Cricetulus griseus: one gene and its partner. The protein of the gene in region 2 purifies or fractionates together with the protein of the main gene of each other region. This does not show direct contact. Links are inferred from orthologs where the notes say so. Each region holds a gene or a part of one and is shown on either strand. Other genes may lie near its edges.

What was found. The genes of interacting proteins can lie anywhere in the genome.
Region 1: the proteins of Ptpn3 (region 2) and Shkbp1 purify together in Homo sapiens (affinity purification with mass spectrometry; 4 studies listed by BioGRID and IntAct, with this or other methods). This does not show direct contact. The link is inferred for Cricetulus griseus from reciprocal best matches to the Homo sapiens genes PTPN3 and SHKBP1.

The regions. Positions count from the first base shown.
Region 1 is NC_048602.1:8,560,613-8,564,357, forward strand, and holds the start of Shkbp1 (SH3KBP1-binding protein 1), read left to right. Parts: upstream 1-1,529; 5' UTR 1,530-1,576; coding exon 1,577-1,671; intron 1,672-1,935; coding exon 1,936-1,989; intron 1,990-2,125; coding exon 2,126-2,171; intron 2,172-2,269; coding exon 2,270-2,343; intron 2,344-2,948; coding exon 2,949-3,007; intron 3,008-3,249; coding exon 3,250-3,330; intron 3,331-3,745. Other genes in the region: Sptbn4 (spectrin beta chain, non-erythrocytic 4), read left to right, coding at 50-208.
Region 2 is NC_048595.1:86,660,142-86,663,786, reverse strand, and holds part of Ptpn3 (tyrosine-protein phosphatase non-receptor type 3), read right to left. Parts: intron 3,208-3,645; coding exon 3,021-3,207; intron 2,865-3,020; coding exon 2,787-2,864; intron 574-2,786; coding exon 517-573; intron 1-516.

The DNA.
Region 1 (3,745 bases), on a different chromosome or scaffold from region 2:
TGGTTGAGATCCTCCTCCAAATACAGACCTGTCCTGCTTCTTCCGCCAGGAGGAGATGAATGGCTGGCTGGAGGCTGTGGCTAGCTCAGTAGCAGAACACGCCGAGATGGCCCGCTGGAGCCAGACGCTACCTACCACATCATCCACGGATGAGGGCAACCCCAAGCGCGAGGGCGGGGAGCGTAGGGCCAGCGGGCGCCGGAAGTGACTCCAGGTACCCTCCCCCCTTGGAGTCTGACAAGTCTCCTTGCCCCTCCTCTCCGCACTGTGGACACAAAAGACACCTTCTCATCCGCAAGGGCAGGAACGACCAAGGCGGACGTGTCACGGTGGGCCCTAGAATGGAAGGGAATTCTCCTGCACTCCAAGAAATGGTGGTGGGGGAATGCTGTCCCTATAGCCATATCTCGGTCCCTTCCCGCTCGCCAACCCCACCCCAGGTGCTGGGGCTCCATTCTTTTTATGCAATAACTGAGCTTGGTGGGAACGGGCAGGGAGCCAGTTGAGCCAAGCCCCCTGCCCCATCGTCAGATCCTGCCCCAAGAAGCTGGAGTGGCGAGGGACCTGGGAGGTGGTGGTATTCGTTGGCCTCCTCTCCTCCCTAAGGATGGACACGGGGGCGCTGGTGAGGTCCCCTGGACCATCCAGGGTGCTAGGGGGTGGGGAGGGGACACATCCCCTCCCTGCCTTTACCTCACTTCCAATGCTGCCTTGATCTGTCTGGGAAGAGGGAGCGAAGGGGCCCTTGGCCCCTGCACCCCGCCATCTCAGAGCCATGCGGTTAATTCCCGACTTAGTTTATTTTTGCAAAAACGTAGACCTCCCCCCCCCAACCTCCTTCCCTCCTCCCCGCCCCGCATCCGCGAAGGCTTTTAATAGGAGGGGGATTCAGAGTTCAAAACTGTCTTCCTCTCCCCCCACCCCCACCCCCCGTCCAGCTGTAAATGCCACTTCCCGAGGGGAGGGGGTGGGGAAGCCCTCCCCCCCGCATGCTTCTGGCGGGAGCACCTCCCTGGGAGTGGAGGGATCAGGGTTACAGGCAGCCCCAGTGGCTGCCCGGAGACGACGCCAGGGCCAGGGCCAGGGGTGCGGGGCGGTGTGGCAGGCGCACACTGTATGTACCTATAATAAACCCCTTTGGCTTTGACGGTCTACGCTGGTTTCTTTGCTCGTGTGAGACAGGATTGGAGGGTGGGGCGGGCAGGGGTGGGGACCAGGCTGCCAAGACGGCGTGCTAGACTCTACCGACTCACCCAGCAGCGGTGCAGCAGGCTCATCTCAAGATCTGCACACCTAGAAAAGAGAAGTCGAGACACAGGAGGGGAGAGTTATGCGCGTCACGTCGCGTCCCGTCCCGTCCCGTCCCGTCCCGTCCCGTCCCGTCCCGTCCCGTCCCGTCCCGGCCAGGAAAGACCGCCCGGGCTTTAAAGAGTCAGAGAACGTAATTTCCCACGAGCGAGCGCTCGGTCCAATCGTCGGAGAACCCCGGAGTCTCTAGACCAATAAGCGAGCGCCGGGGGCGGGGTCTGCGCGCACCCGGAAGTGGGTGCAGACCGGCAGGCTCGCCCGGGGGGCCATGGCTGCTGCCGCGACCTCCGCAGCGGAGGAGGGGGGGGTCCCGAGTCGGGGAGCCCCCGGGGAAGTCATTCATCTGAACGTGGGGGGCAAGCGGTGAGTCTGGGGGAGCCCCCGAGGCCCCATCCTACGGGACTGGGGCGGGGGTGCACGCCTCTTCGGGGAGTGGGGGTGCTAATCCCTGTCCATCAAGGCTTGCTCCGCCCCGGGATGGAGGCTTGGCGCTTGAGTTAAAAAAAAAAAAAAAAAAGAAAGAAAGAAAAATGGCCAAGGAGGGAAGGTTCGGTGCGTGGATCAGGCGGGAGGAGGCAGCCGTCCTCACCTCCCCGTCGCCTGTCTCCTCCTCGCCCCGCCGCCCAGGTTCAGCACCTCTCGGCAGACGCTCACCTGGATCCCGGACTCCTTCTTCTCCAGGTGATGAGGAGAGCCGGTTTGGGGCGAGGGTGGGAGGGGGCGGGAGGAGAGGGCGTGGGGAGACCGGTTTCCACCCTTACTCACCTCTGCAACTCGGCCCACGACATCCCCTCGGCTTCCCCTCTGCTGTGTGCAGCCTTCTGAGCGGACGCATCTCAACTCTGAAAGACGAGACCGGAGCTGTGAGTGGGGCAAAGTCAAAAGCGGGACGGCCTTTGGGAGGGGGTCAGGACCCCCTCTTTCCTCCCGGTCCTGACCAGGCCCTCCCCACCCCCTGCAGATCTTCATCGACAGGGACCCCACCGTCTTTGCCCCCATCCTCAACTTCCTGCGCACCAAAGAGTTAGACCCCAGGTTGGTGAAGGGTAAGGGGGGTGAGTTCTCCCAAGCGTGAAAGTCTCCTTCCCCGGATGTTCCTTTGTTCCATTTCTTTTAGAGTTATTCAGTCTTGGTCACGTTATACAGCCACCCCCTCTCCAAATATATGCACACATTTGTACCGCTCATCTTTGTTCCCTGGTTTTTTGTTTTTTTGTTTTCTCGAGACAGGGTTTCTCTGTGGCTTTGGAGCCTGTCCTGGAACTAGCTCTTGTAGACCAGGCTGGTCTCGAACACACAGAGATCTTCCCGCCTCTGCCTCCCGAGTGCTGGGATTAAAGGCGTGCGCCACCACCGCCCGGCTCGTTCCCTAGATTTTTAAAAACAGTATTTATGTATTTGTTTGCTTGTTTGTTTGAGATGAGGCCTTGCTCTGTAGCCCTGGTTGCCAGGCTGGCCTCAAACTTGCTTTGCTCCTGTTACCTCTCCTTCAGAGTTTCTGGGGTGTCGGGTGTGCACCGCCACTCAAACTCTCTAAAATCTTAAGCCTGTCAAAACGAGCGCCGTTTCAGAACCCTCAGAACGTGCTGCTCACCCCTACCCCCCAGACTTTTACCCCCGAGTCTCTTCTGTTTACCCAGGGGTATCCACGGGTCCAGCCTCCTCCATGAAGCCCAATTCTATGGGCTCACTCCACTGGGTAAGTAGAAGTCTCCGAGTGTCCCTCCCGACTCCCATCAGTCAGCGCCCTCAGTTATTTCCCAAACATTCTTTATCGATTTGACTCCCCCGGTCAGAAAGACGTTTGGGTTAGAGCTAAGAGCATTCGGTGTGGGTCTGGCTCTGAAGGAGTCGGCAGTTCTGTGGGAAAACAAATGGGGAGACGGACGTGGGTCTGCCTTAGAATCCCTCAAGACCAAGTTTGGAGTCCTTCCTTTGCAGTTCGCCGCCTGCAGGTAAGGGAAGAGCTGGATCGATCCTCCTGCGGAAATGTCCTCTTCAATGGCTATCTACCTCCTCCAGGTGGGCACTCCCAGTAGACGCTGGGGAGGGGAAGATTGGGTTAAAGACTACATTTCCCACAAAGCTACAAACTCGTAGGTACCTGCATTTGGAGCCCTGAGCTCCACTGGGAGTTGTAGTTCTTTATCAGCGTGTTTGGAAAGGAACTAGGAAACAGCATTTTCCATGAGCATGATGGGAGGTGTAGTTTGAGTTTTTTCAGAAAGGAAACATGAAATAAAAAGACAAACATGTAAAGAATAGCATCCTCATGGGGCTGGGGAGATGGCTCAGAGGTTAAGAGCACTGACTGCCCTTCCAGAGGTCCTGAGTTCAATTCCCAGCAACCACATGGTGGCTCACAGCCATCCGTTATGAGATCTGGTGCCCTCTTCTGGTGTGCTGATAGACATGGAAGCAGAATGTTGTATACATA
Region 2 (3,645 bases):
CACTCACCTGTCCACTCCATACAGGCTTAGCCAACATATCATGCTACACCTTACATATGTACACAGCAAGAAAAAACAGAAAGAGGCAAAGGATCTCTACAGGAGGCAAACAGAAAGTAAACTCTCTCAGTCTCCTTCGCTCGAGCAGCACTTCCCGAAGTTCAATGTGCATACATATCACCCAAGGGATCTTCTTACCGACAGATCTAGGGTAAGCAGGACTCCAGGCCTGGGCCAGCACCTGTGGCCTGCACCTGTGCTTTGGCCAGAGGTTCGCACATGTAACAAGGCCCCAGGTGACAGTGCTGTAGTTTCAGAGACCACACTGCACAGCACAGTTCTAGTTAATGGGTGTCCCACGCTTGTCTCCATCTGTCCGTGTGTATCACCTAACCATCCAAGCAATCAAATAAAAATGAAATCCCAACAAAACCCAGGAATGGGATGTAGAAACAGAAACTTGTTTGACTTAGGGGAAAGCAAACACAGGAAGTAACATGGAATGTGTTTACTTACAGGCGACTCTGGGTTTATCCTGGAGACCACAAGAGGCATTTTTTGATCCACTCCTCCCTGCAAATGTTTTAAAGCAAACAAAACCAGAAAAAAAAAAAAAAAAAAAAAAAAACTTGAGTAGTCTTGCCAACAAAGATACCAAGATACAGTAAATGTGAGCCTTACAGTTTAGGAAGGCTTTACAGGAGGACCAATCACAGGACTGGGAGCCTTTGCAGAATTATAGAACACACTAATGACTCCTCTTTACCCAGCAGGGTAGCCAGCACTCCACTGGCTCGGAAGCACATCCCAACATCCCCATCACTAGAACTGAAGATGCCATGGGAGGACCCGACCACATTTCCTGGAAAGGGACTATTTTAACTTTTCCAAAAGAGGAGGTACAAGGCCTCAGGAAGGGCCATGTGCACCTGAGTGCTTCCCTGTGAGCAGAGCCCTAGGGAGCTTCAGGAAGAATGGGGTGTGTGTGACAAGCCAGAGGCTGGTAGCCAGCCCCAATTCACTCTAGAACAGGAATGGGAGAGCTGGAGAGATGGCTCAGCGGTTAAGAGCACTGCCTGCTCTTCCAGAGGTCCTGAGTTCAATTCCCAGCAACCACATGGGGGCTCACAACCGTCCCTAATAGGACCTGATGTCCTCTTCTGGTTTGCAGGCATATGTACACACAGAACACTGTATACAAAATAAATAAAGAAGTCTTTTCCAGCACTCGGGAGGCAGAGGCAGGCGGATCTCTGTGAATTCGAGACCAGCCTGGTCTACAAGAGCTAGTTCAGGACAGCCTCCAAAGCCACAGAGAAACCCTGTCTCGAAAAACCAAAAAAAAAAAAAAACAAAGCAAAACAAAGACAACAACAAAAACCAGGAATGGGAGCTGTTGAGGGAGTGGGGAGGTGTGAGTGAGATGAAAGTTAGATGATGCTTCCTCAATAGCTATTTAAGATGTGTGGGAAAGAGGGCCCTGAGGCAGTCATTTAACTCCACCAATGAATCCCTGAAGCTGTAACCGAATGGGTGCAGCACCTGCTTCAATAATGCTATGTACACAGATGGGCGCAGGCCCGTGGTAGCAGTTTGGAGACACTGCCTACAGGGACCCATTAGACAAGGAGGCCCAGCAACTCACAGAACTGGCTTTCCCTTATCAGTCTAGCAGGGCTATAGGGTTCTCTAAATAACCCCTCCAGGGTGGGCTGTGGGCTGGGTTTGATCACCAATCACACACACACACACTACTTTCTGAACCTCAGTTTCATTTGTAAGATCTGTTTAACAACCGTCCTATGCACTATTTATTTCTTCATTTCTTTTTTCTTCTCCATCTTTTAAAATTTGAATTAGAAACAAGATTGTTTTACATGTTCCCTCTCCCTCCCCTCCTCCCCTGTCCCACACTAACACCCTACCAAGCCATTTCTGCTCTCTAGGGAGGGTGAGACCTTCCATGGGAGGGTCTTAAGAGTCTGTCATATCCTTTGCGATAGGGCCTAGGCCCTCCCCCATGTGTCCAGGCTGAGGGAGTAGCTTCATTTCTTTTGAGATAAGGTCTTGATAGCTCTGGCTGGCCATGAACTTGATAGACAGTCTAGGCCGGCTTCAAACTCATAATCTTTCTGTGTTCGCCTCTGATATAGTGGAGTTACAGGCATTAGTCCCACATGCTCTGCCTCAATCACTTATTCTAAGAGCTCAGTAAGATGACAGAAATCTAGTATAATGCCACAAATGTCAGGCACATTGCAAACATTTACTGTAAGGTAGTTGTACAAGCATATAAAAGGCTCTGGTCTCAGCCCCGAGTGGTTCTGAATGATTGTGTGCACCTGTGTATATGAGTATGCATGCATACACAAGTGTGTCTCTGGGTGGAGGCCAGAGGTCATCCTTGGGGGTCTCAGTCCTCTGGTGCCAGCTAACTTGTTTCTTGAGACAGTGTCTTTTACTTGCTCAGAGCTTGCTGATTATGCTCGACAGGCCACTAAGGCCCAGGGATCCACCTGCTTCTGCCTCCCCAGTACTGGGATTACAGGAGTGCATCATCACACCCATCTCTGTTAGGTAGTTTCTGGGGACTGAAACCAGGTCTTCATGTTTGCGTGGCAAGAACCTTACCAACTGAGCTACCTCTACAGCCCCAAGTGAGGTTTTGTTTGGTTTTGTTGATGCAGTGTAGGTATGTAGCAGATTTCTGACTGAAATTCAAAATCTACTTGAAGATTGTCTCATTGCATATAACCTAAGGGCTACACATACTCTCCGCAGCATACCTTAAGATTAAATCCAAATCTTCCATCTTCATCTGGTGTGATACGGATCAGGACGAGGTAGCCATCTCCTTCGTCATTCTAGAAGACATGTGACAGTGTTGTTTATATCCCTTCCCTCTGTAGTGGTTGGTGACAAGACACTTCCTCTCAGTCAGAACTACTCATTCGCCTGCCTACAAGGGAGGGTCACCGAGCCACTCGGTCCAAGTGTGACAGCACCTGGACCACCCTCACCTTGTCACAGTAGTACTGGCTGGCATCCTCAACGGAGCCTCCTTTGATCATCTTGTGATAGTCTTCTAAGAATTGCTGGTCAACTCCGTCTGGGGAGCAGGAGCCGGGAGCATTTGAAGACGGCGACACAGAACTGGATGACTTCCGGGTCAGGCAGCTTTGTGCTGGCTTGTTTTCGGACAAACTCCTTCATTGTGGGGAAGGAGATGTTTTAATAAATCGATTAATATTATCAGAGTAAATATCACTGGCTTGGGGGAGGGGAGACAGGCTGTCATCTTGAGATTGCTGTGGGATGCTGGAACCTTAGCACTTCCGCAAAGTCCTCAGGCTTACCTGTGCTCTCATCTAGTTTAAATACAATCACATCTGACTGACCTAGGGGCAAACGGCAGGAGGAACTACAGGAGGAACTACGACCACCACCTGTAACAGCTCCTCTCTCAGCTGCTTTGAAGGCTGGTGTGGAGATGCGGACAGCTCCTCCAGTTTAGCACCTTAGCTTCTTAGGCTGGTTTTGAACTTCTGGCTCAAGAGATTCTTCAGCCTCAGCTTCCTAAGTAGCTGGGACTCTGGACATGGACCCACTAATTTAAATTTGGCAGGGAGCAGAAGCATCATTTAA